Linked DNA regions of Elephas maximus indicus. The protein of the gene in region 2 binds, or shares a complex with, the protein of the main gene of each other region. Links are inferred from orthologs where the notes say so. Each region holds a gene or a part of one and is shown on either strand. Other genes may lie near its edges.

Region 1 (15,391 bases), on a different chromosome or scaffold from region 2:
CCACCAGATGAGGCTGAGGCACCTTCAGGGGCCACCACCTCCAGACCCGAGCTGGTGCTACCACTGGGTGAGGCCAGGCGGGGGCCCTCAGAACCAGGGCCCTCTGCCAGGGCCATCAGCACGGGCTTGGTCTCGGGGCCTTCAGCAGCAGCAGGCGGAGCTCCAATTGCTGCCTCTGTCTCTTCCTCCTATGACAGTAAGAGGGATAAGCGATGGTGAGCAGGGCTTGGCACCCTGCGCTGTCCTACTGCGATTGTCCCACAGGGGACACTCACCTTGACAATGGCCATGCCAGGCAGGGGCGGAGCTCCAGGGGCTCCAGGGGGTGCAGTCCCTGGCTGACCGGCAGCCGCGGCAGCACCACCACGCTCGATGACAATGAGATTGTAGTCCTCTGTGGTGTTGCCTGGAAACACCTTGAATACGGGTGGCTGGCTGTCGGCTGTGAGGTCCAAGTCCAGGCGCTCGAGGCTCACCCGCGGCACCTTGCGCATGAGGCCGCTCACCTCACCGTCACCAGAGCGAGACCTGCAAGGCACAACTTGCCATGAGGCTAAGTCCAGACCAAGCCAACGACTGGGCCTGCTTACCGCCCCACAAGGCCACCACTCACCGCTTCACACCCGATACGTGAGGCTCCGCACTGGAGTAGGGGTCATCTACTTGGGAGATGGAGGAAAGGAGATACTAGATTGGCGTGGGAACAGTGTGAGTCTCCCCCCAAGCAGCGCTGGGGCCCAGGCTGATGACCCACTCACCTGACCCAAAGCCATAGCCTTCCTGTATCTCCATGGGCTGTGGGCAGAGATTGGGGGACTTCAGGTGATGGCCCTCAGGATCCTGTGCTCCATTCTCCCTCCTCCCACCAACGCCCTCCTTACCTGGCTGCTGCCCGAGCCCTGCTTGCTCAGTGGGCCAGGGGCCCGCGGAGGGGCCATGGGTGCAGGGCCTGTGGAGTTGGTGCCCGAGCGCTCTGCCACGATCTTGCCTTCGGGAGACAAAGAGTAAGCAATGGCAGAGAAAGTTCCCTGAAGAATGGGATCAGGGGAAGAAAAGCAGGGAAGCAAGACTCACCGAAGGCCTCAGCACTCTTGGTCCAGGCGTTCAGGTCCCACTGGAATTTCATCTCGCCGTGTGGCTCCACGGGGTCCACGATCATCTTGAGAGCACGGTGCAGCTGGAAGTAGATCTGGGCAGAGTAGGATGGGTGGCTTGTCAGTGCTCTGGGCAGTGCAAGCCACCTGTGCATGGGGGGGCCACCTCCCCACAGCCCCCCAGAGCCAGCACACCAGCTTCTTGGACAGCAGCAAAGCCGTGTTGTTGTCACTCTCCAGGGCCCAGGAGGCAAAGCGCAGGATATGCTCCTGGTGCTTCTGGATCTTGGTCATGGTCCAGTGCTGCCGCTCCAGCCGCTCCTGCTGCCCCTCGGTCACCTTCTGCAGGGTTGCGGGGTGGGACACAGGATCAACAGGCTGGAGGAGAAAAGCAGCTGGAATTCTCCCACCCTAGGTGGGACTGGGATACACACCTGGGCATCATTGACCAACACGCGACCGCGCTTATTCAGCTCCTTCATGATCTGCAGAATGGCCATCTTAACATCCACCTGCACACGCTTCTGCACGTCTGACACCTGGCGGATTCTGAGAACAAGGTTGGGGCGGGTCAGACTGGACAGGCAAGGGGCCGCCCCCCTCCACAGCCCCGGTGCCCCCAACTTACGAGCTGCGAACCTCCTTGGTACTCTTCTGCAGCGTGGCATGCTTGTCCCCCAGGCGCTTCACCAACGAGGCCAGGAGCTTGCGCTGGTTCCTCACTGCATCCTCCAGAAACTGGTACCTGTGGAATGACAAGAGACGAGCCGGGGACAGGGTGCTGAGAGCAGGTACTGGCCCATCCAGCCCACCGTGGTCCGGCTCGAAACTCACTGATGGTCCTTGTGGGCATTGAGCTGGCAGTCCCGACAGGTGAGGGTGTCACAGCTCTCGCAAAACAGCACAAGGGGCTCGTGCTTGTGTACGCTGCAGTACACAGTGCGCTCGCCATCCCGCGTCTTAGCCGGCCCTGTGGAGTGAACACAGTGAGGCAGACACAGGGAACCCTGGCCTGGGCCACCCCCACCTCCGGAGCCACGCAGAGCAGCCTCTGGCCAGGTTTGGAGTCTGGGCACATGGCAGTGTGGGGGCAGGGACTGCAGCTCTGCAACCTGATCTTGCTTCCAGCACCCTCTAACCCAACCTGACCAGCAAAATCTTTATAAGCCCTCCCACTTGTAGGGCTGACAACACAGAATAAACAGAGGTAGACCCAATAACATGACTGAAAAATTGGCAGTTCAAACCCACCCAGCAACTCCATAGGAATAAAACCTGGTGATCTGCTCCTATAAAGATTACATCCTACAAAAACCCATGAGGCAGTTCTACCCCATCACAAATAATCACTGTAAGAAGAAACCAACTGGACGACACTAACAAACAACACGGCTTCTACCAGAAGACACCTCCCTGTGCCATTTCCTCCGTGGATACGTCCTACCTAGGCAGACAGACTCCAAAAACTCCTCCAACCCACCTACTAACAATGTCATCCACAACAAATATCCTTTCACCACAGAATGGGATTCTGACCACTGAGCTATCACCCCAAGTGCAGGATTAAAAGTGAACTGGGGGCCTAAAGAAGCCTGAGCTCATTCATGAACAATTTCCTTAGAAACCATGCTCTCTAAGATCACAAGCAACCTACCAGCCATGGGCCAAAGGAACCCTAACAGCTGCTTACCTGAATCCAGGAAAAACAAGATGTTGGACTGGGACCCCGCAGACAGCATCAGGCCATTCTGGGAGAAATTCCCAGTGCTCAGAGTAAAGCCACCCAAGGAACAAAGATGAACCCAGCCCCCTCCCCTGAGAGCTGCTTATACATGCTCCCTTTCCTTTTTTCCAATGCCAATCACAACCTGGCTGCACCTGTCAAATCTAAAGCACAAGGCATAGGCCACCTGGTCCTAGACCCCTCACTGTACCAACATCTCCAACCAGACCCAGGTCCCGCAGCAAAGCCCTGTCCATCCCTCAGCCACCTCCATTCTCATCTTCCCACAGATGCTGTCCGCTAAGCTATGACGAATCACAAGATACCTCCTGAAAACCCATCTCATGAGGAATTTGGGGATAAAAACCAGCTACAATAGATTCCCGAGCCCCTTTTCACATAGGAACCAGTGCACAAAAAAATCTGTAAATATCTAGTTGAACCCTGGGCAGAACGCAGCTGAAGTGCCTCTGGGACACACCGTCACTGACAGTTCATGGGCGCTCACAGCTCAACAATGTGCCCTGGCCCCAAAGACTCACTTTCCACATAAAGCTTCGAGCCAGGGTGCCAGGGAACCCCAAGACAGTGACCCTTCACATCCCTCATTAAACACCACACCTTTCCCCAACTATGCAAGCTGTTCCCTCCACCTGGAAGGCCCTATTCCGACAGCACACTTCCTCCCTGCCTGGAGGCCTCTATGATGAGCATCACCCGGACCACCAACTCCCTCATGCCATGAAGCTCACTGACGTCCACTGTGATCCTCCAAGATCTTTTCCCTACCACCAGGACCCCTGGAACTTGCACACCAGAGCCCCACCTTCCTGCTTTCAAGCAGTCTTAGCCCTGGGACCCTTCAGAAACTAGCCCCTAAAGAAACACGTAGGGAATCAGCCATGAGATGTGACCAGCAGCTGAAGATTTAAAACACTTGCCTCCTCTGCACGTCCCTCTCTAGAGACCCAGGAATGTTCCTGCCACCCCATCTGCCCCATATACCAGTGGATCGCACAGTGTGGTCCTTGGTGTACTTCACCCGCTGGTGTGCCTCCACACATGTCTCACAAAGCGGTTCGGAGCATTCCACGCAGTAGCTGGTGGCGGGTGCATTATCCTCACAGCTGGTGCAGCACTGCTAGGCAAAGACAGAATCAGAAGGAGTGGGACCACCTAATGATTCCCTGTCTAACAAAGCACTACCTGAGACAACGTGCAACCCTTTCTCAAGCCAAGGCAGCCTGCCCAGAGCAAAAAGCGGGGTGGAGAATAACACCTGGTGTTGCTGTTATGTTCCTCCTGGCCTGGTGACCCCTCCTCTCGGGGCCTACCCAAAGCCACAGGCCTCCTGGAAGTGACGAGAACAAGACACACACCTGATTAGCATCCTGGGAATCGGTGGCAGCCTTGCTACCACTGTCGCGCATAAAATAGTTTTCCACGATATCTTTGTAGAAGCACTGCTGCTTGCACACGGGACAATCCACCACTGCAAAAGGTGAGAAAAACACCGTGTCTGGGCGGTCCCATTCTCACAATAGACTCTGAAACCGGGTACCCACACCCAACCAGGAAGCCCATCCTCTACCTCGGATAATCCCACATCGCTACGCAGCCCCCGTGCAAGCCCCCATATCAGCGTCCAGACCCCATTCCCACCCCAGGCAGGCTTCCACCCCCGACCCCACCTCTCCCCTCCAGCAGCGCTTCCGGCGCCCGGGGCCGTCCTCCGCGAACTCACCCGCGCTGTCCCCCGCCGCGCCGCCGTCTCCTGAGCTATTGGACGCGGCGGGTGCGGCAGGCCCGAGGCAGGCGTTGCAGGCCGAGTGCAGGCAGGGGAGCAGGCGCGGCTCCCGCTCGGGCCGCAGGCGCTCTCGACACAGGCCGCAATGCTCCAGCAGCTCCAGCGCCTCGCCACCGCCCGAACCGGGCGACGACGCCGAGGCCGAAGCCGAGCCTGCAGCCGATGAGGCGGCGGACCGCTTCTCGCCACCCGCCGAGCCCTCGCCTGGGCCGGGGCTACCCGACGCAGCCGAGGCCGCCGCCGCCGCCGCCGCTGCCGAGGCCGCCATTCACACACCGCCGGGGGCGCCCAGGGGGGAGGAGGGGCACGGGGCCTGCCGCGCAGGCGCAGACAGGCTCGCCGCCAACGGCCGCGCCGCTGCTTGGGCCGCCGCCGCCGCCGCGAGGCCGAGCGCTGCTGCGCACCGACTGGGCCGCTGCCCGCCGCGCGCGGGGCGCTGCCGAGGCCCGGCCGGCCGCTGCCTGCTCGCTCCCCGCCGGCCCGCCGCGTGCACAGCCGCCGACACCGCCCTCGAGCCCAGCTCCACGCACACGACCGCTCGCCCGCGCGCCTGCTCGCAGAAAGAGCCGCGGCTGGGGGGCGGGACAGAAATAACTGGCGCCGACGCCTCCGCGCACGCGCGCTGGGCACCTTGCGGCCCGGGGGCGGGGTCTGAGCCTGCCGCCGACTGCGAGGTTGCTAGTACGCAAGCGCCCCTCTCACCCCCCACCAACCATCCCCTCGGCGCGACTCGAGCGGCATGGGCGGGGCGCAAGACGTCACCGCCGCAGTTTCGGCGGCAGGCGGGGCGAAAGCACCGATTCTTGCGCGTGCTACCCGCCCCTCCAGACCCACCTCCAGACCGCACCGAGGCTACCCGCTGTACTGCGCACGTGCGTGGGCAGCCCGGGACCCCCCCCCCCCCATTTTACCCCACCTTTCGGCCGGCGAGAGATATCGCCAAGCCGCTGCGTCACCAATAGCTCCTGGAAGGGCCCGGGCCTGTGGGCGGGGCTCCATCGGAGGAGGAGGCAGCTCCTAAAGGGGCGAGCCACTTCGGGGCTTTAACCTTTCTGCTATAAATATGAGAAACACAGAAAGCTACTTAAATTAAATGTAGAACTCAAGGGGTTACGGAGCAGCGAGTCCGTGAAATCCCACCCGGCCCTCCACTGGCGCTCCTTCCCCATCTCCTAGCCAGCCTCTCTCCTGACTTTGATGCTTTGCCATTTGTCCTCTAGGGGGACGGACATCCCGACCCTCAACAGTGGGGGAAATCTTGTCTGAAAAGGGAAGCTGGGCCTGTGTGTGCGGGGTATCCTGTCTGAAGGGGGAGCAGAATCTGGGTGGGGAGAATCCTGTCTGAGAGGGGAAAGAGTCTCTGTGAGGGGAGAATCTTGACAGTAGATACAGAGACTCTGAGTGTGTGTGGGTGGGAGGGTAATCCTCTGAGGAGGGAATAGGGTCTGTATGTGTAATTCTGTCTGAGGGTGGAAACGGGTGTGTGTGGTGGGAAATCCTGTCGGGGCAGGGAGGGGGGAGAAAGGCTGTCTGAGAATGGAAGCAGGGTTTGTCTGGGTGGAATTCTGCCTGAGGGAGAGGCAGATCCTGTGGGAAGGGGAATCCTAAAATGCTAAGGAGGGAGTGCTAAACGGAGCGCACGGCCTTGGGGGCGTAGGGGAAATCCTGTCTGAAGAGAGTGGCGCAAGAAACACGAGGGATGGACATGGCGCTAGGAGTGGGCCCTGGCCCCCTGCGCAGTGACCGCAGCGCGCATGACAAGGCCTGCCTCTGTACCCTCGGGTCCTGAGGCCTCGCGTCTGAAATGCGACGGCAGGTTGGGGGAGGGAGGCTTCCTGGAGGATGGGGTAGGCCAGCAGGGTCAGCGAGCCCAGGCCGGAGCCCCAGAGTGCGCACACTTTAAGGCGGGGGCCGGACAGTCTTGGGGCGGGGTGGGGGGCGCCATCTACCCTCCATTCCCCAAGCCGTGCGGGCGCACGTGGCGGTGGCGGAGGGGCGACTGGCCGCTGGCCCAAGGTTGCCTTTTGTTCCTCTCCGGGGCTCGGGGTCCGCAGAGCTTTGTTCCCGCCCCTGCCTTTGTTCCAGCCCCAGCGCCCGGCCCCCCAAATTCGGGCCCCGCCCTGCTCCCGCCTCTGCGCTGCGTCATCGCCCGCCACGCCCCCTCCGCAGGCTGCCCGGCTCCACCCGGTGCGGTGAAGGCCACGCCCCACTGACCGGCCCCTTCTCACCTCCTCCCAGCCACCTCTGATAATTCGGAACGAATGTGAATGGCTGGCGGCGCACAGGGTGAGGTGGGGGATCCTTTAGATATATTCACTGAGCGTGTTGGACCGCAAAATCACAGGGGTGAAGGGGTGACCCATGCCCTAACCTGAGCCCTGGGGCAAACACTGAGGAAAGAACCAAACCCACTGCCATGGAGTAGATTCCAACTCAGAGTGACCCCATAGAATTTCCAAAGCTGTAAATATTTACAGAAGCTAACTACCACATCTTTCTCCGACGAAGCCTCTGGTGGTTTCCAACGGACCTTTTGGTTAGCAGTCAATCGACTTAACCACTGCACCACCAGACACTGGGGAGGGAAGGGCGATCAAAATACCAGTTGGCCTGGAGTCAGTTCCAACTCATGGAAACTCATGTGTGTTAGGGTAGAACTGTGCTCCATAGGATTTTCAATGGATGGTTTCTCAGAAGTAATTAGCCAGACCTTTCTTCTGAGGCACCTCTGGGTGGACTTGAATCTCTAACCTTTCTGTTAGCAACTGAGCATGTTAACCACATTAACCATTTGCACCACCTAGAGACTCTTCAAAAAGATTGATGGTAGAGGATGTGGGAATGGAGCTTATGAAAGAAGAAATTCTTATACTCTATTAGAGTAAGAGACAATAAGTTTTACTGAGGAATAAAGCAACTCAAGTTGGGCAGCTCAAGGTGAAAGTGCAAGGTGCTCCTTTGAGCAGAACAAAAGATGGAGTTTTTATACTTAAAGTTCAACATGGCTAAAACCGTAAATATCTTGCAGAACAATTTTTTCCACATAGCAGTTAATTTTCTAACATACATTTTCTAAGAACGGTCTGTACAAGCAATTTTCTAGAACAGTTTTGTCACATGCTTCCTGGATGTAAAAATGGTGTGGGGGTGGTGTTTGACCTCCTCTAACTTCAGGAGGGGGAAGGAGAATCAAGATCAACAGCCCAAGGCTGTTTCCTTTGAGGAGGAAGCCTTCATGCTTCCACCCCCCAACCTTTTTACCAGTTCTGATACCAACCATCTCTCCCACAGCACCCTCTACTCCTCTGCTAGGTCCGATAACTCCTTGCAACAGCCACACAGAACTCACAGCCAATACTCATGAGTAAGCGGTGTATTAGGGAAGTAACAGGTTACAATTCAGGATCAGAAACAACTCACGATACAGTTCTTCCGTCAGGACAGCTTTTTTACCGCTGTACCTGCAGGCATGTCTATCTCTGGCCCTTGGCCTCTCTGCCCCATGGCCCCTCAGCCTGTGCTCTGCCCTGCTCGGGCAAGTGTTACAAAGCTATTTTAGCTCTGCCAGTAAGTGCCCAGAGGCACCCCATTCCACCAGCAAGCCTCCTGCCAGAAGGTGCTCAGCTTTCTCATTCACTGAGTTGGCACACACAGCAGTCTGTCTCCTGCTAGTCTCCTGCATCTGCTGCCTTTGCTGCCGCCATTTCTCTGCACTGCTCTCTCTGTCTCCTGGGTCTAAGAGGGTCTCACCACAGAGATCCTGGGTCCAAAGGATGTGCTCCACACCCATCTCTCCTTGGTGGTAGTCAAGTCCCTGCTCTGCTCAGGAATTGGCTCTCTTTTAAGCCTAACAGGATGGCAAAACTGACCAATCCCCTCATTAGGGTTCCATACATCTTCTTTGCATCATCCCATCCTAAGAGTGCCATGCACCTTATTTACATTATTAGCAAGCTACCCAATCCCCATAGTGGGCCACAAGCACCTCATTTGCATAGTCCCACTAGTCTATTGGTGCGAGTTACAAGACCATGGTGAGAAAAAAAAAAAAAAAAACCTGTTGCCATTAATTTGATTTTGACTCATAGCAAACCTATAGGACGGAGTAGAACTGCCCCATAGAGTTTCCAAGGAGCGCCTGGTGAATTCAAACTGCCCACCTTTTGGTCAACAGCTGTAGCACTTAACCACTATGCAACCAGGGTTTCCAAAAGGCCATATAAAACAACCCAGTGCACCACACTGGAACATTCTAGGTACATATCTTCTGAGAACGAACACCATGTCTCCTTCTGTCCCACATGTCATGGATTGAATTATGTCCCCCAATGATTCCCAGTATTCTGTGGTTGTCCTGTATTTCATGATTGTAATTTTATGTTAAAGAGGATTAGGGTGGGATTCTAACACCACCCTTACCCAAGTTACATCCCTGATCCAACGTAAGGGGAGTTTCCCTGGGATGTGGCCTGCACCGCCTTTTTTCTCTCAAGAAATAAAATGAAAAGGAAGCAAGCAGAGAGTGGGGGACCTCATAACCACCAAGAAAGCAGTGCAGGGAACAGAGCATGTCCTTCGGACCCGAGGTTCCTCCCTTTGGACCTGAGGTTCCTGCACTGAGATGGTCCCAGACCAAAGGAAAACTGATGCATCCCAAGGACCTTCCTCCAGAGCTGACAGAGAAAGAAAGCCTTCCCCTAGTGCTGGGGCCCTGAATTCCGACTTTAAGCCTACTAGACTGTGAGAGAATAAACTTTCCTTTGTTAAAGCCATCCGCTTGTGGTATTTCTGTTATAGCAGCACTAAAAAAAAAAAACAAACTAAAACACCATGTGTTGGCCAAGAGTAGTCCAGGGTAACCCTTCCTTGTAAGTTCAGTCTGAATACTTCTGTACTTTGAATATTTGCTAGCACAAGCTGAACGACCAGAACGAAAATAATGAGAATGTTCACACATTATGAAGTACTTGATCCAATGTCACTGAACAATTTGTGTAGAAATTGTTGAATGGGAACCTAAATAAAAAAAAAAAACTGTTGTATAAATCTTCTGCAGTGCAGTGAATTACTTAATATGGCCCTTCTAGCCATAATCCTTGTGATTCCCACACAATGATTGGGTGGGACTATGCAAATAAGGTGCTTGTAGCCCCACCAATGGGATTGGACAGCTTGCTGCTAATGCAAATAAGGTATATGGAACCTGTGATGATTAAGGTTATGTGTCAACTTCATTGATCCATGATTTTCAGTGGTTTGGCATTTATGTAATAATATAATTTGGCAGTTATGTAATGATGTAGTCATCCTCTGTGGTCTGATATAATTGTCCTCCATTTTTTATCTCATATAATTGTTTTCCATTTTGTAATGTGTAAATCCTAGCCTCTATGCTTATGGTTATGGTCCCATTTTGGAGTAAGTTGTCCATTATGTTAATAAGGGAGGATTAGGGTGAGATGTGTCTTGGGTCACCACTTTACTAGAATGTGTGACTCAAGTTACCATTCATACCCCAGTCACCACCCTTATTCAAGTCACATCCTTGCTCAAGTAAGGGGAATTTCCTTGAGGGTATGGTTTGCATCCAAAATATATGTGAATGCTCTGGCAAAGCTCTCTGTCTTGCTCTGAATCCTGCATCTAGCTTGTCATCATCAGACCTCCAGTTCTTGGAACTTGAGCCAGCAGCCTATTTTCACTGATTTGCCAGTTTCCACAGCCTTGTGAGCGAGCAGCCTGTCATCTGACATGCCTATATGAGTTTGTCAGCCCCTGGAACCATGTGAGTCAGGATAAGCCTCCAGCCTGATGCCTGAATCACATATTTCAGACTTTGCAAGCCTCCATAACGGCGTGAGCCATTTCCTTGACAGTTCATGAGTTCTGCGAGATGTTGCAGCAAATTATGGAATCCAATGATGGGAGAGAGAGTACTGAGGGGAGGAGTAGTAGTTGGTGTTAGAGATGATGGAGTGGTACAGCAATTTGAAAAAAGTTGGACATTTGGTACATCTTTAACCTCTGCCTCATAGGAACTAGCTTTGTGCTGATCCTTCTAAAAGAAATTATTCATTCAACTTCACTGAAGATACAATAAAAAAAATTTTTTTTTTTAAAGCATGGGGATGGAGTCCCTCAGGGAAGAGCACTGCCCACAAACACCTGCAAGAAGGACAGTGTAGGCAGGAGGAACAGCAAGTGCAAAGGCCCTGAGGCAGGATGGACAGCTCAGTGGTGGGAGCTGGGCTGGACAGCTAGGAGGGCGAATAGGTGGGTCCCTTGTGACCCCACCAGTGCAATGTCTCAATACTAGACCCTGACCACCGGTCCTGGAGTTTTCCGGGCCCAGGGTACACATGTTTTCCTTCTGTACAGTAATCTTTAAAGCTCCCGACTTCTCTGGGCCCAGGACCTTTCTCTCCAGTATGTGACAATCACACTTAGCAGGATATTACCTGGTAGTAGTCCTTGGAGGGTTCGCTGGCCACTAGCTACTGGGTCACTGCCAACTCCATTGTCCAGATTAGAAAACTGAGGCTGTGGGAAGTGCCAGGACAACATTGGAGTGGGAGTCAGCTGGGAACCAGAGTCAAGCAGGCACAGGAAAGGCAGAGGTGTCCCAGGGTCTAGGCAGACAGGAGAGTGGGGCAAGGGCAGGACCTTCTGTTGAGGGGTCCTGTCTGAGGAGCCAGACTGTTCCGAGGTCCAGAGGTGCGTGGCATGAACACGTGTGTGGGAAGACACCCCATTTAGCTTCCTTACCTTGGCTCAGTCCCCCAGTGGGGCCCAGCCAAGCAGTCACTGTCACCTTACACACTGTCTGCAATGTACCAAGTTCACAAGTTCTTAGTATGAAGAACTACTTGGAGGAGAGCATGGACCAGACACTGTTCTAATTGTGTGATCAATGGGTGTTTATTATTCACAGAGTATACAGGACAGCAATGAGTAGAGCAGAAAAACAGCAGCAGCAGCCAAGTTTCTCCAAAGTTAGGTTCCCATCCCAGGGTGAAATGTTATGATTGCATCCAAGCATGCCTCACTTTGCACCATGGGTGAGGAACCCCGAAGTTCCTCTCACCCAGAGTTAATATACTAGCGAGCTTCAAGCTTCAATGACTATGTGCCAAAAAGCATGTACAGAGAGTAGGGGAATAAAAGGCAAAGCCCCCTGTGGGCAAGGACGGTACTCATTGCCTCTGCTCAGAGTACGTGACCATCCCCTGATTAACAGTTCTAGATTCACTGGCCTCGGTGAACCAGCCTTTCTCCTTCCCCCCACTAAGATAGACAATAAATGTTTCAGCCTCTCAGAGGGCGATCATCTCCCCCTAAGGCACATACTTTACTTTGTGTCCATTAGTTGCTATTATAGTAAAGCTGTACAGCACACCTGTGCACCCAGCACTCTTATCGTCCATGTTCCTTGGTGACCCTTTACAATGTCTCTCCCTTCCCAGCTCTGGACCACTGGCAACAATCCACATTCCTGCTTTGCATACAGGCTTGGTCTTCTTCAAGGGGTGAAGCAATGTGTGAGACCTCCCCACCACCCCAGCAGGATCAGGCCTCACCTGACCCCTGCCTTCTTTTCCTTTCCCAAGCTCTCCTGCCCACTCTCACATGTTACCCCCAAAGCTGCTTCCTGAGGAGGCTCCTCTGGCCCCCCACACCAGCTTGAGTTCTCATCCAAGGTGAATACCCAGGACTGCCCGCAGATGGCATCTTGTGTCTGCTTGAGGCTCCCCCACCCCACAGCTTTAAAAAACAAACAAACCCACTGCCCTTAAGTCGATTCTGACTCATAGCAACCCTATAGGACAGAGTAGAACTGCCCCCATAGAGTTTCCAAGGAGTGTATGGTGGATTTGAACCATCGACCCTTTGGTTAGCAACCATACCTCTTAACCACTATGCCACCAGGGTTTCCATAACAGTTTTACAAAACCAGAAAACCAAACCCATTACCATCGAGTTGATTCCAACTCATTGCGACCCTATGATGATAACAGCTCTATTAAGGTATAATTCACATGCCATAAAGGTCATCCTTTTAAAGTGTACAATTCAGTGGTTTTTAGTATATTCACAGAAGTGTACAACTGCAGTGCTGTGAATTCCTGTTATGCGGTCTTCCTTGACATGGTCTTTGACTCCTACAAAATGATTGGGTGGGTGCAGTGTAATGGATTGCTTTTGTATGGTCTTACTGGCCATGATCTTGTAACTCCCACCCAACTGAGTGGGTGGGACTGTGTAAATAAGGTAATTGCAGCCCACCAAGGGGATTGCTCAGTTTTGCCATCCCCCACTAGGCTTAAAAAGAAAGTGAACTCAGGAGCAGAGAGGGGATTTCACCACCACCAAAGAAGGGCCGAGAGCAGAGTGCATCCTTTGGATCCAAGATCCCCGCGCTGAGAAGCTCCAGGAACCAGGAGAAGGAGAGAGAAAGCCGTAATGCTGAAGATGGCAAGAAACAGCGGCAGGAGAGACCAACAGGAGAGACTGGCAGGAGATGGCTCAGTGGACTTCCTGGCCATGGAGCAAGAACACTGAGTGCCTTCGGGCAGGAGGCTTGCTGGCTGGCAGAGCTAAAAGAGCTTTGTAACACTTGCCCCAGCAGGGCAGAGGCTGAGGCCCAGAGAGGTATTCCTGTGAGCACAGCTGGGAAGAGGCTGTCCTGATGGCAGAACAGTATCTTGAGTGTTCCTGAACCTGAATTGCAACCTATTACTTCCCTAATAAGCCCCGTAATTGTGACTATTGTCTGTGAGTTCTTTGTGGCCATTGCAAGGAATTATCAAACCCAGTGATAGAAACAATGCCGAAGAACCTGTGATAGAATTTTCCAAGACCAATGACTTCTTCATTGCAAACACCTTTTTTCACCAACATAAAAAGGAATCAGCCTTGGGCTGATGCAGATAATCTTGATTGTCTCTCCTCCTGGCTTCAGGCCTCTTCATCTGACCATTTTTACAACAACCATCATCACTAATACCAGAACATTTTCATCACCCCCCCAAAATCCCATGTGTATGAGCAGTCACGTCCCCCCCACACACCCGCCCATTTACCCCTGTGTTAGTTAAAAAAAAAAAAAAAAAATTTTTTTTTTTTTTTTTTTAAGTTTCCTAGAGCTGCTATAGCAAATTAACACAAACTCAGAGGCTTAAAACAACAGAAATTCATTCCCTCACTTCTGGATGCTGCCCATTGCCATCGAGTTGATTCCAATTCATAGTGACCCTGTAGATGTCACCATAGGGTTTCCAAGGAGCAGCTGGCAGATTCAAACTGCCGACCTTTGCCTTCTATTCTTCTGGCTCTTATTTCCACTTGTCACTGGATTTAGGGCCACCCAAGTAATCCAGGCTGATCTCACCTCAAGATCATTAATTATATCTGCAAAAGCCATTTCCAAATAGGTCACACTTATAGGATCTGGAGGTTAGGATGTGGACATATCTTTTTGGGGGCCACCATTCAACCCACTACACCCTCAGCCTCGTTTGTTATGGCTCCTGCCACTCGCTATACTACTTTCTTAATGGACTTGCCCGTTCTGGAATTCTTCTTTGTATTTTTATTCAGTTATTTTTCTGCCTTCATCATTTTCACTCTCCGCCACTGTCCTCCCCAGGCCAGCGTTGTCCTCTCTGGGCTTCCACATGTGCTACCACCCACCCTCTCTGGCTTGGTGGATGGATGTGAGCATCCCAGTGGCCATGGACTGGACTTCCCCTTACTATGGAGAATGCCATGCCAGCCTCCACCATATAGATCCTTGCCCAGTGATAGACATCAAGTGGCTGCTCCCTCTGCCCGTGGTTCCTGCAATTCTTTGACTGACAGCTTCATATGACCTAGGGCACTTATGTAGGTATATCCCTGGGTTTATACCTGGATGAGGAATTGTCACTGTCCTGTACCCTCCAGTGATCCCTTTTGGTTTAGAATAAAAATTAGATTCCGTTCTGGACCTAGATAGTTGAGATGATTGATTAACACTGAATGTTCTTAATCTCACTGAATCGCACACTTTGAAATGGTAAATTTTATGTTGGTGTATTTTTATCCCAATTAAAAAAAAAAATCAGATTCTGATGAGGGCCCTGGGGTCTGCACCAGATACATGGTCTGACCTGTTGGTCCCACCTTGCTCGGGCCTTTGCATTTGCTGCTTCCTCTGCCCATATATGTGCTTGGCACGCGTGGTGACTTACGTATCTAGTGCTGCTGTAACGGAAATACCACAAATCGGTGGTTTTAACAAACAGAAATTTATTTTCTCAGGTTAGGAGGCTAGAAGTCCAAATTCAGAGTGTGAGTTCTAGGGGAAGGCTTTCCATCTCTGTTGGATCTGGAGGAAGGTCCTTGTCTCTTTGAGCTTCTGCTCCTGGGAGATCTTCATGTGACTTGGATTCTCTTTCCTCATCTCTGCTTCTTGCTTGCTTGTTTAATCTCTGTTGTATCTCAAAAGATACTGACTCAAGATACAACCACTAATCCAGTCTCATTAACATAACAAAGACAACCCATTCCCAAAAGGGCTTATAACCACAGGCATAGAGGTTAGGATTTACAATACATAATTTTAGGTGACACAATTCAATCCATAACACGGGAAAAGGGAAGGGGGTAAGACGAAGGGGCCTTTGCTGGAGATGGCTTGGCCACCCGGTTACAAGGAGGGTGTCTTTTGTTCAGGCACACACAGCATAGCCATCCTATAAGCAAGGTGCGTAACTAGAAAGAACATTC
Region 2 (15,867 bases):
CAATGGGTTGTTATGATTTAATTTTTTAGAAAACATTTGTCATGAAGAAACCAACAGCTAAGCATGGGAAATAAAAGAGTAGAGAAGAAAAATACATACAAAAAAAGTATATTTATAATGTACCTAAGATTTTTACTTAAGGATAAGTACTTTTTGTACTTTCTACCAGAGCAATTCAGCACTAACCCTTCTACCAAGTATTTTTTCAGCTAACATTAAGAGATACTAAAAAGCCACAATGACCTTTCAAAGATGTAGCAATAACTCATTTTAGTAACACAGTAAGAAGACTGGATACAGTCCAATAGTTACAGAATGGAAATCGTACATTTTATACATTCAGCTAAAATCACACATTTATACAGTTAAAATCATACATTTTATACATTCATTCATGATGATACACTCGGCTTCATCATTCAAAGGATCACAGGCATTTTACTGCTGGCAGGGACTTCAGAGAACATCTATTTAGGCAAAGGCATGAAAAGAAAGTGAAGTCCAAAAATACTGATGTCTTATCCAAGATCATACAGTCTGTATGTAGCAGAGCAGTCCTCTCTGGAAATCTTTTTGATAACTAGTATAATTTTAACAGCAGAAAAATATTCTCTCACTTATTAACAGCTGTTACTTTCAACAGGGCAATCACCTTTAAATGGCAACCACATTAGAAGGCTGAATCTATTTCACCAAGAAATGGAAGGTCACAAACTTTCCTCCATTCCAAGCATCTACATACCTACCTATTTTAATCTCCTTCACTTTTTTTTTTTCTCTCAGATAAAAGGCGTCTCCTCTATACCTCTGCAAGAGGAGTCCCTGGGTGGCGGAAACAAGCTCTCAACTACTAGCCAAAAGGTTGGTGGTTTGAACCCACCAAAGGGCACCTCAGAAGACAGGTCTAGCGATCTGCTTCTGAATAGTCACAGCCTTGAATATCCTATGGAGCAGTTCTACTCTGCACAGGTGAAGTTGCCATAAATCAAAAGGGACTCCATGGCAACCAACAACAACAATTCCTTTGTATAGCTAAACAGTCCAGCTGTGTGGTTAACTCCCACCCCCTGGATGACTCTTTCCAGGTACTTCCCTTCATCCTTTCCATCTCACTAGCTTCTTCCTCTTGGCCAATAAATACATTCAATTTTCAACAATCCTGAAACATCCATCTTTTCTCGGTATTTTCTCCCTGTCAAGCTACCTCTTTAACATCTTGAAAGAGTAGTCTATACGTCCTCACTATTCCACCAAAAACTGTGTTTTAAAGGTCAACCCAAACCCACTGTCATAGAGTCAATTCAGAATCACAGTGATGTTACAGGACAGGGTATAACTGCCCACAGGTTTCCGAGGCTATAAATCTTTATGGAAGACTTCACATCTTTCTCCCAAGGAGTGGCTGGTTAACAGTAACTTTAATATCCAAGGAAAGTAGTCTCTGGTCCGTCCTCATCCAATTTAACATCTCCACAGCATTTGATACTCCTACCATTTACCACCGCAGGTGAGCCTGCAGGTATATGAAATACCAGTGGCATAGCTTCTAGCATCACAGCAATATGCAAGCCACAACAGTAAAACTAACCCTGTGGGGAATCTGCTATAAAAGACCTCTTTAAGATGTTAAAAAGCAAAGATGTCTGGTCTGACAGGGACTGGAGAAACCCACAGAGTATGGCCCTGGACACTCTTTTAGCTCAGTAATTAAGTCACTCCTGAGGTTCACCATTCAGACAAAGATTAGGCAGGCCCATAAAACAAGACTAAATGGACACACCGGCCCAGGGGCAAGGACGAGAAGGCACGAGTAATGGTAAATGGGAACCTAAGGTCAAGAAGCGGAGACTGTTGACATGTTGTGGGGTTGGCGACCAGTGTCACAAAACAGTATGTGTATAAACTTTTCAATGAGAGGCTAGTTTGCTCCATAAACCTTCATCTAAAATAAAAAATTAATAGGGGGGGCGGAGCAAAGGTGTCACTTTAAAGGACTAAGGTGCACCTGACCCAAGCCATGGTGTTTTCAATCACCTCATATGCATGTGAAAGCTGGACAATGAATAAAGAAGAACAAAAGAAGACCGAAAAAATGATGCCTTTGAATTATGACGCTAGTAAAGAATATTGACTATATCATGGACTGCTAGAACAACAAACCAATCTGTCTCGGAAGAAGTACAGCCAGAATGCTCCTTAGAAGTGAGGATGGCAAGGCTGTCTCACATACTTTAGACATATTATCAGGAAGGACCAGCTCCTGGTGAAGGACATCATGTTTGGTAGAGGGTCAGCGAAAAAGAGGAAGACTTTCAACGACATGGACTGACACAGTGACTACAACAATGGGTTCAAGCCTAACAACAATTATGAGGATGGCACAGGACTAGGCAGTGTTTCATTCTATTGTACGTAGGCTCGCTACAAGCTGCAATCAACTTAACAGCATCTAACAACAACATCAACAACAGCAACCATTTACCAAATTGGAAATGCTCATATCTCTGTGGCTTCCAGGACACTATCGTTTTCTCTTACTATTCTAGTCTTCTTTGATATTTTTCATTGTTTTCCCTTCCTTTGTTCATCACTTAATGTTGATGCCTCTCTCTGTACACCCTGCTTAAGACATTTTCCAGTATCTACTGCAATGATGACTCCCAAGTTATTTCTCAGGTTCTGACCACACTCTTAGCTCCAAACTCTAATTTCCAACTCAATCTTTCTACTGAGATATGGCAGGTATTCAAACTCAATGTTTTAGTATTTTCCTTCTGAACCTAATTCCTATTTTAGTTCATAATGCCAATTACCCAGCTGATCAAGCAAGGAACAGTTATCTTTAAATTTTCCATACTTAACTGATCAAATCCCATCAAATACATGTCTTATAAAACTCTCCTAAATTGCTTCTTCTCCATCATTACTATCATTTGCCTGCATTTAGGCTTCAATTAATGCAAAGGCTTCATTAATCGTCTTCTCATATGAAATGCTTTACAGGGTATATCAAATAAAGTCCAGATACCTCACAACCCAGAAGTTTATACTTTTACCTTTGTAGTTTTATCTATAGTGCCTTGAACCTCTTTTTCCATAGATAGTACCCCCATACACATACTACAGACACTTTCTTTGAGCCAACGTACACTTTCAACCCTTTCGTCCCATACACAACCAAAAAACAATGATTCATGGTTTAGGGTCCACTCCAAAGGTCACCTCTCCATGACTTCTGACTCTCCTGAGAAAGAATGGGTAATTAATCATTTGTGAATCACAGACTGTGATTCTACATTGCTTAGTACTTCCCCTTATTATTAGATTTATCACACTGTACTAGTTTAATCAGATATTTACATGTCCTTCCCTCCTGGTGCTCGAGGATCATGCTTTGCTCGTATTTCTATCCTTTATGCCTAAAACATAGTAGGTTCTCCCCTTTCTCACTCATCTACTCTTATCAATTGCCCCCAAACTCACTATACACAGAAAAAAAAAAATCAAAGAAAAAAAGGGAAAAATGTGTAGATGACAACCACTGATAACTCTGCACACTGAGAGCAAAGTCAACCTGGAGAGGAAAAAAACACAGGTTAAGTGTGTGCCCTCAAATCCAGACCTTGTATTTAGACCAGTGTTAGGGAGCCTGTCCCATCAAAGAGCAAGTATCCATGGTTGAAGAATGCCTAATGGCTAGGAGGCTGTTTCAAGGTCACAAAGAGGAGGAGGAGATTACAAGATATGTATAAAGTACTAAAATTACCCACTTATCCATCCATCAAATACTCCTTGCTTGCACACATATTTACTCGGGACCTACTACACGCCAATGGCCATTGTGAATGCTGGGGATGAATAATCACTCATGGAGCTTATATTCTAGTGAGGAAGACCAAAACCACAAATACGTTATGTCAGGTAGTGATAGATACTAATAAAAAATAAAGTGGTAGATTGTTGTTTGTGTGCTGTGGACTCAATTTTCAACTTTTAGCAAACCCATGTGACAGTAGAAATGCCCTATAGGCATTTCTAAGCTGGTATCTTTAAAGAAGCCAATTGCCATGCCCGTCTCCTGAGGGGCCACTGGGTGGGTTCAAACCACCAACCTTTTGGTTAGCAGCCAAGTGCTTAACCATTGCACCACCAAGAATCCTTAAAGTGGTAGGAGGGGGATCTATTTCAGAGAGTGATTAGAGAAGGCTTTCTAAAAAGGTGAAATTTCACTAACACTAAATGAAATGACGGCATTATACCCAAATAACAGCATGAAGGGTCTTCAAGGCAGAAGGAACAGCAAATAGGAAGCAGCAGAGATACGATGGTGCTCGGTATGCTCAAGGAACAGTGTATGACTGTGGCACAGTAACTGAACTTTAGTAGGAAATAAATTCAGCTCGTATTAGGTAAAACAACAAGATTAGCTAAAAAAAAAAAAGAGTGATTGCAGTTAATTTTGACTATATACAATTTCTGTGTTATGAACTTAAATCCTAACACTCTACCAATAGAAACCAATATGGCATTGTACAATAATGCAGTATAAAAAGTTATCATATGATGATGAACGAAGACAAATAAAATATTTATACCCCACTGATGATTCCCCAATCTCCATCTCCAATCATGACTTCAGTTCTAACTTTTAGCATCTGATCCTCACCACGGGCCCACCACCAAATTCAACCTTCTCTCCCAACATGCTAAATTGAAGACAGGACCTTTGTCTTTTAAATATTGAAAAGAATTACCCAATAGCTTGCAATGGGTTCTCAACACCAATTCTGATGTACAGCACCTCATTGTTTTTTCAATTACCTAAACTATCTTAACATTCATCTTACCTCATTCCTACCACAGATCTAGTTGTAATGTCGTGTCTTTTCTTGCTGTGAGATCTCTCTCATATATTCTTTTCTCCATTTCCACTGCCATCATTAAGTTCAGGTTGTAAAAGCTTCATAACTGATTTCTTTACTTTTGGCTTTTTTTTACAAAACAGCTTCCTTTCATTGTTTTACCAGTCTATCCAAAAAGTCTTTAATGGATCCCTAGTACCTATTTTTAGTACGTCTCCTTGGAAACTCTATGGAGGCAGTTCTACTCTGTCCTATAGGATCGCTATAAGTCGGAATTGACTTGATGGCACTGGTTTTTTTTTTTTTTTTTTTTTTTTAATAAGGAAACCCTGGTGGCACAGTGTTTAAGAGCTACTGCTGCTAACCAAAAAGTCAGCAGTTTGACTCCACCAGGCACTCCTTGGAAACTCTATGGGGCAGTTCTACTCTGTCTTGTAGGTTTGCTATGAGTTCGAATCAACTCGACGGCAATGGGTTTTGTTTTTTTTTTTGTGGTTTAGTACCTATAAAATAAAGTCTAAATTTCTAAGCCTCGACTTTCAAGATTGTCCAAAATTCACAGAATCACCTATAATAATCTTCTCTCAAAGGAAAGCCCACCACTCCCACTAGACTATCACCATCCCTAGAACAAACTTAATTTTCATTTATTTCCCAATGTCATCAAGACTGACCATGAGATCCCTAAAGGCAATCTCAGCTACTAAGAAACACTTATGAATGAAAACACAAGTCCAACAAAGAAAACAGGAGTGAAGTCTACTCAGAAAGAAAAAAAAAATTAAAGTAGAAAAATATGACTAAAAAAAGCAATTAAGAATTTTACACTACCAATATTGAGAAATAACTAAAACATTCCATGAATTCCAGTTTATAAAGTGCTTTTACTTTTAAAGATGAAAAAACTCTGGATCCCAGATTTTAAGTGGCTTGCCTAGTGTTGTACATTTAACTAAAACAAAACAGAGACTTCTAAGGACTCAACATCCCATAGCTAAACCCTGGCCTTCCTTGCCGTCTCTTAACTACATAGGAAACAAATGAATATATTCACTGTAAAAAATATTTAAGTATCTAGATGTTCGGACATCAACTACAGCATCTGTAAGGGAAATCAGGTATCTGTCGAAAGAACAAAGATAAAATGTCACTCCTGTGTTTAAAATCTTTCCGTGGTTCACCACAGCATTCAGACAAGTTCAAAATTCTTTAAACAGTCAAAGCCCTTCAAAATTTGACTCATAATTACCTCTTAACCCAATCTGCCAAATCATTCCACCATATTCTAACTCTGCCAAAGTATTTAGAAATGTTATTCTAATGATAAGTTGTAGGCAACCTAATCCCAAATGACATTACTCTTATATGTAAGAGCTGCAAAGAAAATTCGGATATCAAGGTGAGAACATTACCCATTTTATCAGTACCACATTCACTGAAACACTGCACATGAAATATTGGGTTTTGCGTAAAAAACAGCCTTACCAGAATAAACATTAAAATAAAATGTCTAACTTTTCTTTCATCCCACTAAGATCTCTACTTCATAGAAAACCATGCAAAAAATAAGAGTTTATACTCTGCTTGGATTTGAGTTCTGGCTCTACCAGCTTCCTAACGAGTAATACTGGGCAAGTTACTTAATCTCTCTAAGTCTCATTTCTACAAAACACGGATAAAACCTATCCCTAAGATTGCTGTGCAAATTAAATTAAATGTGAAGCACTTGGCACTATGCCTAAAAAATAGTAAAAGCTTGATATACATGCCTCTAACTGTTAACCGTTTAATGAACATAGGTTAAAATGAAAATTTTAATATTCAGTTTTTTCTCAAATCCTGTTGTCTGTGTCAAACTGTTGAAGAAAAAAAAATTGTTCGTTCATCATAAAGAATCCCAATTATTCATTTGCACCCTGCGGATCTCCAGAATCTGGTGGTGGCAACATCTGAAAGTAATTTGATCTTCATTGGTGCACAGAAATTTTCTTCAGGCACCTAACACAACATCTAACTCAAAGTAAGTGATTAATGTTTTATGAAGGAATGGCAGAATATGAATGAATACCTCTAGGCAAGTGACAGCTGCAAAATCTATCAATGGGCTGAAATGCCTAGGTTCATTTACTAGTAGCAACCATTCTGACCTTAAAAAAAAAAAAAATCCGTTGCCATGGAATCGATTTGGACTCATAGTGACCCTATTGGACAAGGTAAAACGGCCCCATAGGGTTTCCAAGGAGCCACTGGTGGCTTCGAACTGCCTACATTTTGGTTACCAACCCAACTCTTAACCACTATGCTACCAGGGCTCCATTTTGACCTAAACCGAAAACCAAACCCATTGCGGTGGAATCCATTCCGACTCATAGGCCTAAAAATGGTCTAAATGCTAATTTCAACTTCCATCATTGGGCCATGTATCAAGCATCCTCATATAAAAGTGAAGAAAATATAGATGGGTTCTCATTTGGAGCTACATGGTGCCTATGGCAATCCCAAAGCTGTTTTTAAAAGGGCACACTTGGAAGGCAATGCAACAGTGCATATGACACCGAGAATAATATACAGAATCCCTTTCACTTCTCATCTTTTTGAAATATTTCTCGGTGATACACCAATTTGCAACATTGTAACTCACCTGTTTTTTCAGTTACATCTGAATCAGGAGTGCTTGCCCTGCTAACTTCCCCTTCAGCATTCTCCTCTTCAGCACTAAGAGAAATTGGTGAAGAAGGGCCAGGCTGGGAGGGTTGGGGGGTTGCTTCGGGGGCTTCCTCAATCTTACTCCTTTTCTCAAAGCGAAAACGGTCCAAGTTGAAAAGATTCATATTGGTAGCAACCACCACGCTGTGTGGTTGGGACTTTGAATAAACTATCTGCAACAGGGAAATAAAAAAAGAAAAAGAAACCATGAAACAACACAAAGCCATAGCAGTTCATTCCCGAGGCAATAAAGGGCCTGCAAACATGCCAGTGTCTCAGGACGACTATTATGGCTGCGCCTCATTGTTAGGCCACAACAATCAGATGGTGAACAGGGCATCTCTTTTTATTTTCCATTGCTCGTTTCATTCCCCTTCGTCCCCCGCCCCTCCTTCCTCGAACCACAAGCTGACCCTCGTGCAACCTCCTCTTACCCCAGCATGCGCAGGCACGTTCCTCAATCTAACCCCCTAGCGGGCCGCGCGCCCGCCCACAGCGAAAGACTCCCTGCACTACCGAGCCCCCAGTCTCGAGAGAGAGGACGTGCCAGGGCCCGAGTCTCGACACTGCGGGGACACAAAGGGGCCAAAGAAGGGGAGCGGCGGAGGCCGTGCTGGCGGGCACCCGCCCGGAAGTTGACGCGGCACGATCCCGGTTGAGAGGAAGCTGATAGGATCAAGAACACACAAGGAGCTCCAGAGGTGGGGGCTGTGCCAGAGCGTCTTTTTTAATGTTCACTTGCTGGATCTGTTTTTTTTCACCTCGCGGTACTTACGGCCTGGTAGCCTCCGTGCGATGTAACAAACGTTGAAAAGAAAAAAATAATTGCCGGCGTGGGGCGACGGTAGCCGGGCCGGGACCTTTTACGGAGAAACACAAATGAGCGCGTAGTGATGACGCAACACGCAACCTGGGCTTTTTTTTTTCTTCCCCGGCGACCCAAGAGAGGAAAATGTCTAGGCGCGCTGTGTTGTCATGGTAACTCGTATTCGCCTCGCCTGGAAAACGCGCATTTATCCTGTTTTTTTGTGTGTGTGTGTGGTTAGCAAGAGGATTGTAAAATAATGTAATAAATAGCATAATAATAATATATGCTGTGTAATATAATTAATATATTTTATATATTTTAATACATTATATTGTATACACATCATCATAATAGTAGTTAGCTAAATGCCGTACGTGTCAGTGGGCCACAAAAATAGGGGAGTTCGGGCCGAGGTCACAGTAATGGGTTAATCTACACTGACTCTGGAAGGACAGAGAGGAGGGGGTAAACTGCGGCTGTTCTTGGAAGGTATGTGGTTAAGATGGCAATCATAAGGTTCCAGGAAGCCTGTGACAAGAATGTTTATAGAAACCGCACCTGCTTTTGCAAGGTACTTGTGCAGGCAGGCTCCAAGAGGTCTATAGATTAACTGATATGTAATTTAACTGAAAAATTATTTTTAAAATGCTGTGTTCTTATGACTGGAGAACACAAGCCCTATATAAAGTAATTCAAAAAGTATTTGCAGAACAATGCAAGTTTCGTCGTCTCAGAAAAAGTACCTGTTCATGATATTTCTTTATATAAGACCTTGAAAGATCTGTCTAATCTGAGCACGTTGTACTTTGACCGATGTGCTGCCCCGTTCAAACTACTATTCCTCAATAAAACTCTTTGCTTTCAGTTCTAACAAAGCAGTTTTCTTCTTAGACAAATCTAAATCTTTACAAGAAACCTATTTTCATAAAATAAGGAAACTCAGACTTAAAACCGTTAAGTAGCTAATTAGTGTGTGTTAGTGGGTATGTTGAACTCCAAAGCATATGAATTGCCTCCCCATTGTTGGCTGGATTGTTCTTACAATGAAATGTGACAATTAATTCACCTATCTTGGGTAAAATATTGCTTTAAGAATATTTGCTCCCTTGATTTGTAAACGTTCACTTAAAGCTCAATAAAAATTATTAAAAAAAAAAAAAGAATATTTGCTCCCTTTATTCTAACATTAGATTAAACCTCCATTTTTCTGAGCCGTAACTTGATCTGGTTGGCATTTCCCTTGAAGAGGACTTAATACACATAATTACCCTGCAGATACATTGATCATTATAAACTTAAATCTGCATTCTATGTTATAAATCAGTCTTGTGAATTATATAATTATAACACAATTCCACAGTTTTTTCAAATGCCGGCACACTGATAATCAAGTGTCTGGACCCATAAAATGTAGAATCAAAGCATAAACAAAGAGAATCTCCATTATATCTATCTTTGATATCCATGAAATGCATTAGCTTGATACACACGTTAATGATGTGATCAAAGCATATGTTTACTTATAAATAGTAAATTATTTTTGGTAATTAAGAGTATATGTTTGCATTATATGCAGACAGATCTGAGATTGAAAATGGATTCCACTAGCTAAATAACTTTGGGCAAGTTATATAACCTTTCTAAGCCTTAGGTTCCTCATCTTTTAAACATGCTTCACAGTGATAGTGACATATTAGTATGATTTTCTGTAGCTGGGAGACCCTTGACATTTGTAGAGTTGGGGCAAGTGTAAAAATGTAGACCCACATGTTAAATGTTATAAACTTTATGTTAAACATTATAAACACAACTAACAGAATATTAAAATAAATTCTATCCTCCTATTTTGAAAATGACATAGAAGGCCAGGTTAACTTCAAATTTCTATTGTGTCAGAATGTGGATGATTCAAGGAGAATTGGTTGGCCCACATATCCGTCATTCCTTCTATCACGTCCTCCTGCTCAATTTGATACCACTACTTACTTACTTTCTAGGGGCCTTAAAAGGAGCTCTGGTGGCACAATGATTTAATGCTAGGCTGCAATCCAAAAGGTTGCCAGTGCAAACCCACAAGCCACTCCATGGGAGAAAGATGTGGTAGTTGGCTTCTGTAAAGATTTAGAGACTTGGAAACCCTATGGAGCAGCTGTACTTTGTGCTGTATGTATAGTTGCTATAAGTCAGAATCGACTCATCAGCAATGGGTTTTAGAGGCCTTGTAGGAAGCCCAGGTGGCGCAACAGTTGAACACATGGCTGCTAACCAGAGGGTCAGCAGTTTCAACCCACTCAGCGACTCCACGGGAGAAGACATCTGGTGATAGGCTCCTCTAAACATTCCTGTTGCCATTGAGTCAATTCTGACACATACTGACCCTATAGGACAGAGTAGAGCGGTCCCATAGGGTTTCCAAGGACATAATCTTTATGGAAGCAGGCTGCCACATCTCTCTCTCCAGAAGCAGCTGCTGGATTAGAACTGGCAACTTTTTGGTAAGCAGCTGAGTGCTTAAACACTGTGCGTCCAGGGCTCCTTCCTGTAAAGATTATACCCTAGGAGATCCTATGGGGCAGTTCTACTCTGTCATATAAGGTTGCTGAGTCGGAATCAGCTTGCAGCTTGATGGCACACACAATAGGGGCCTTGCGCTCATGCGTATCCAACTCTGACCCCACCTAGGGTTGCCATATTTATAAAACAAAATATAGGATGCTCAGTTAAATTTGAATTTCAGATAAACGGTGAATGCTTTTTTTAGTTTAAGTATGTACCATGCAATATTTGGAAATTACTTATGCTAAAATTTTTTTTGTTGTTTCTCTGAAATCCAGATTTAACAGGGTATCTTGGTTTTACCTGGAAACTATACTCCGACCCATTCCTTGGTCACCTCTTCAGCCTAGTGGCCTCTTGGCTATATGTTGGGCCTAGGGATACATATACAGGCAGCACTGTTGGCCCTCAGTAAGAAAGACCTGGGGGAAATTATCTCTTAGCCTGCTTGGTACTTAAAGCATTATCTAAAAGTCAAGGCACAGCTTCTGAGTGGCCAAATTTTATGGCCCCACAGATTCCTTGCCCAGTGTGGTAGGGCACAACTGAAAGAGAGCCAGATTGAGCTCTCTAAAGCACTGAGTTTACTACAGAGACTCACCTTGCCCAGTTCTAAGGGTAGGCTTGTTCTGCAGCATTCATTGACTTGGGAGACTTGGATCGATCCATGATTGGGGTTTTGCTTGATGGTGGAACAGAAAGTAAATGGGGCCAGAAAGTGAGAGAACGTTCTTGTGGGAGAGTTTCTCTTTTTGTACCTGAAATTGTCTAGAAGAATAGCAAGAGTTGGGGCTGAAAAAAAGACTGTGAACCATTCCTTGAATTCGCCTTCTTTCTGATCCTAAATATTATCATTCTCCAACATTCAGTCCTTGGCCCTCTCTTGTCTCCCTCTACTCTTTCCCAGAATGGTCTGACTGTGGTTGTGACTAGATATATTTGTCAAATCTTTTTCAACTTAAAAAGGGTGAATTTTACCTCTTATAAATTATACCTCAATAAACCTAACATATTCTTTTTAAGCGACAATAAAGAGGTGGAGCAAAGACGATGGAGTAGTCAGATGCTTCCTGTGGTCCCTCTTACAACAAACACCTGAAAAAACAAGTGAATAGATTATATATAACGAACATCAAAGGCAAAGTTGAGGAATCAGACTGAGCAGCAGGGGTGGAAGAGATGGTTCAGAAGCAGAGATGAGTTGCCAGACCTTAACCAGCAGGAACCGGCATCCAGCAGTCTGGATCAGCTGGCCTGTGTGGTGAGGTGAGCAGTGACATCTATATGCTGCCTACAAGAGCCACACCTTAGACTTAAAGACACAAACAAAACTTAAAGGACGGAAAAATATATATCAAGCAAACAACAACCAAAAAAGAGTAGCAGTGGCAATATTAATCTCTGAAAAATAGACTTTAAAGTAAAATCCACCACAAAGGATAAGGAAGGACACTATATAATGACTAAAGGGTCAATACATCAGGAGGACATAACCATAATAAATATTTATGCACTCAATGACAGGGCTCCAAAATACATAAACTCTCACAGCATTGAAAAGAGAGCCAGACAGCTCCACAATAATAGTAGGAGACTTCAACACACCACTTTTGGTGAAAGGATAGAACATTCAGAAAGAAGCTCAATAAAGACATGCAAAATCTAAATGCCACAATCAACCAACTTGACCTCATGAACATATACAGAACACTCCACCTCACAGCAGCCAAGTATACTTTCTTTTCCAACACACATGGAACATTCTCCAGAATAGACCACATATTAGGCCATGAAGCAAGCCTTAACAGAATCCAAAGCATCGAAGTATTACAAAGCTTCTTTTCTGACCATAAAGCCATAAAAGTAGAGATGAATAACAGAAAAAGCGAGGGAAAAAAATCAAACACATGGAAACTGAACACCATCTTGCTCAAAAACTACTGGGTTATAAAAGAACTTAAGGACGGAATAAAGAAATTCACAGAATGAAATGAGAATGAAAACACATCCCACCAGAACCTTTGAAACACAGCAAAAGCAGTGCTCAGTGGTCAATTTATGACAATAAATGCACACATCCAAAAAGAAGAAAGGGCCAAAATCAAAGCATTAACCCTACAACTCGAACAAATAGAGAGTAGCAAAAGAAGCCCTCGGGCACCAGAAGAAAGCAAACAATAAAATTTAGAGCAAAATTAAATGAAATAGAGAAGAGAAAAACAATTGAAAGAGTCAACAAGACCAAAAGCTGATTTTTTGAAAAGATCTACAAAATCGATAAACCATCGGCCAAACTGACAAAAAAAAAAAAAAAAAAAAAAAATGGAGAGGAGGCAATTAACCCAAATAAGAAATGAGATGGGCGATATCACAACAGACCCAACTGAAATTAAAACAATCATAGCAGAATACAATGAAAAATTGTCCTCTAACAAATTTGAAAACCTAGAAGAAATGGATGAATTCCTAGAAACACACTACCTACCTAAACCAACACAAACAGAGGTTGAACAACTAAATAAACTTATAAAGATAGAGGGATTGTAAGTAATTAAAAAATTCCCCCCAAAAAAAGCCCTGCCCCGACAGCTTCACTGGGGAATCCTACCAAACTTTCAGAGGAACGTTAACAGCACTATTACTAAAGGTATTTCAGAGCATAGAAAAGGATGGAATACTTCCAAACTCATTCCATAAAGCCAGCATAACCCTAATACCAAAACCAGGTAAAGACACCATGAAAAAGGAAAACTACAGACCATATGTAAATATCCCTCATATACTTAGACGTGAAAATCCTCAACAAAATTCTAGCCAATAGAATTCAACAACATATCAAAAAAATAATGCACCATGACCAAGTGGATTCATATCAGGTATGCAGGGGTGGTTCAACATTAGAAAAACCATCAATGTAACCCACCATATAAATAAAACAAAAGACAATAACCACATGATCTTATCAATTGATGCAGAAAAAGCATTCAGCAAAGTAAAACACCCCTTCATGATAAAAATTCTCAGCAAATAGGAATAGAAGGAAAATTCCTCAACACGATAAAGGGCCCTTATACAAAGCCAACAGCCAACATCATCCTAAATGGAGAGAGTCTGAAAGCATTCCCCGTGAGAACAGGAACCAGACAAGGATGCCCTTTATCACGACTCTTATTCAACATTGTGCTAGAGGCCCTAGCCTGAGCAGTAAGGCAAGAAAAAGAAATAAAGGGCATCCAAATTGGTAAGGAAGAATTAAAAGTATTTCTGTTTTCAGATGATATAATCTTATACACAGAAAACCCTAAAGAATCCACAGGAAAACTACTGGAACTAATAGATTTTAGCAAAATATCAGAATACAAGATAAACATACAAAAATCAGTTGGATTCCTCTACACTAACAAAGAGAACATTGAAGAGGTAATCACCAAATCAATTCTATTTACAATAGCCCCCAAGAAGATAAAATACTTAGGAATAAATCTAACCAGAGATGTAAAACACCTATATAAAGAAAACTGCAAACACTGATATAAGAAGCCAAAAGAGACCTACATAAGTGGAAAAACATACCTTGCACATGGATAGGCTCAACATTGTGAAAATGTCTATACTATCCAAAGCAATCTACGGATACAATGCAATCCCGATGCAAATTCCAATGGCATTTTTTAATGAGATGGAGAAACAAATCACCAACTTCATATGGAAAGGGAAGAGGCCCCAGATAAGTAAAGCATTATTGAAGAGGAAAAACAGAGTGGGAGGCCTTACACTACCTGATTTTAGGATCTGTTATACTGCTACAGTAGTCAAAACAGCCTGTTACGGGTACAACAACAGATACATAGACCAATGTAACAAGATTGAGGATCCAGATGTAAATTCACCTACCTATGTAAAAAAAAAAAAAAAGCCAATATTTGACAAAAACCCAAAGTCTGTTAACTGGGGAAAAGACAGTCTCTTTGACAAATGGTACCAGCATAACTGGATATCCATCTGCAAAAAAATGAAATAAGACCCATACCACACACCATGCACAAAAACTAGCTCAAAAATGGATCAAGCACCTAAATATAAAATCTAAAATGATAAAGATCATGGAAGAAAAAATAGGGACAACACTAGGAGCCCTAATACATAAAATAAACAGCATACAAAACATTACTAACAGTGCGCAAACACCAGAAGAGAAACTAGATAACTGGGAGCTCCTAAAAATCAAACAATTATGTTCATCCAGATTTCATCAAAGGATTAAAAAGACTGCAGACTAGGAAAAAAATTTTGGCTACGACATATCCAATCAGCATCTAATCTCTAAATCTACAAGACACTGCAGAACTTCAACAACAAAAAGACAAATAACCCAATTAAAAAATGGGTAAAGGATATGGACAGGATATGTACAGTTTTTTTCCACAAAACACAAATTAATAAATTTTGGAGAGGTAGTGGAGAGACTGGAACACCTACACGCTGCTGGTGGGAATGCAAAGTGGTACAACCACTTCGGAAATCTATTTGGTACTTTCTTAAAAAGCTAGAAATAGAAGTAACATACGATCCAGCAGTCCCACTCTTTGGAGTATATCCTAGGGAAATAAGAGCCCTCACACGAATAGATACACGCACAGAATGTTCACTGCAGGACTGTTCTCAGTAGCAAAAAGATGGAAACTCCCTACGTGCCCATCAACAGAAAATGGATAAACAAATTGTAGTATATTCACACAGTGAAATACTTCGCAAAGATAAAGAACAACGAATCTGTGAAACATCTCGTAACATGGTTGAACCTGGAAGGCATTATGCTGAGTGAAATTAGTCAGTTGCAAAAGGACAAATACGTATGAGACCACTATTACAAGAACTCAAGGAAAAGTTTAAACCGAGAAGAAAACATTCTTTGATGGTTACGACGGTGGGGAG

Evidence for each region.
Region 1: the proteins of SMARCAD1 (region 2) and TRIM28 are in contact, whole or in part, in a crystal structure (PDB 6H3A), measured with the Homo sapiens proteins. The link is inferred for Elephas maximus indicus from reciprocal best matches to the Homo sapiens genes SMARCAD1 and TRIM28. Residues at the interface, in NP_001362784.1 of Homo sapiens: Asp156, Leu157, Ala160, Lys161, Gln163, Thr164, Glu167, Leu168, Phe169, Asp188, Gly189, Ala190, Ala192, Leu196, Ala201, Gly202, Gly203; in NP_005753.1 of Homo sapiens: Arg330, Trp333, Thr334, Lys337, Ile338, His341, Leu376, Lys377, Ile379, Val380, Asp381, Val383.

Annotation. Positions count from the first base shown.
Region 1 is NC_064829.1:87,267,612-87,283,002, forward strand, and holds the start of TRIM28 (transcription intermediary factor 1-beta), read right to left. Parts: upstream 4,982-15,391; 5' UTR 4,893-4,981; coding exon 4,562-4,892; intron 4,310-4,561; coding exon 4,197-4,309; intron 3,956-4,196; coding exon 3,823-3,955; intron 2,065-3,822; coding exon 1,929-2,064; intron 1,840-1,928; coding exon 1,723-1,839; intron 1,644-1,722; coding exon 1,529-1,643; intron 1,437-1,528; coding exon 1,290-1,436; intron 1,190-1,289; coding exon 1,075-1,189; intron 989-1,074; coding exon 882-988; intron 796-881; coding exon 759-795; intron 663-758; coding exon 614-662; intron 529-613; coding exon 276-528; intron 189-275; coding exon 1-188. UniProt on the Homo sapiens protein: Nuclear corepressor for KRAB domain-containing zinc finger proteins (KRAB-ZFPs).
Region 2 is NC_064823.1:60,397,027-60,412,893, forward strand, and holds the start of SMARCAD1 (SWI/SNF-related matrix-associated actin-dependent regulator of chromatin subfamily A containing DEAD/H box 1), read right to left. Parts: upstream 8,432-15,867; 5' UTR 8,344-8,431; intron 8,297-8,343; exon of another isoform or gene 8,003-8,296; intron 7,742-8,002; 5' UTR 7,694-7,741; coding exon 7,504-7,693; intron 1-7,503. UniProt on the Homo sapiens protein: DNA helicase that possesses intrinsic ATP-dependent nucleosome-remodeling activity and is both required for DNA repair and heterochromatin organization.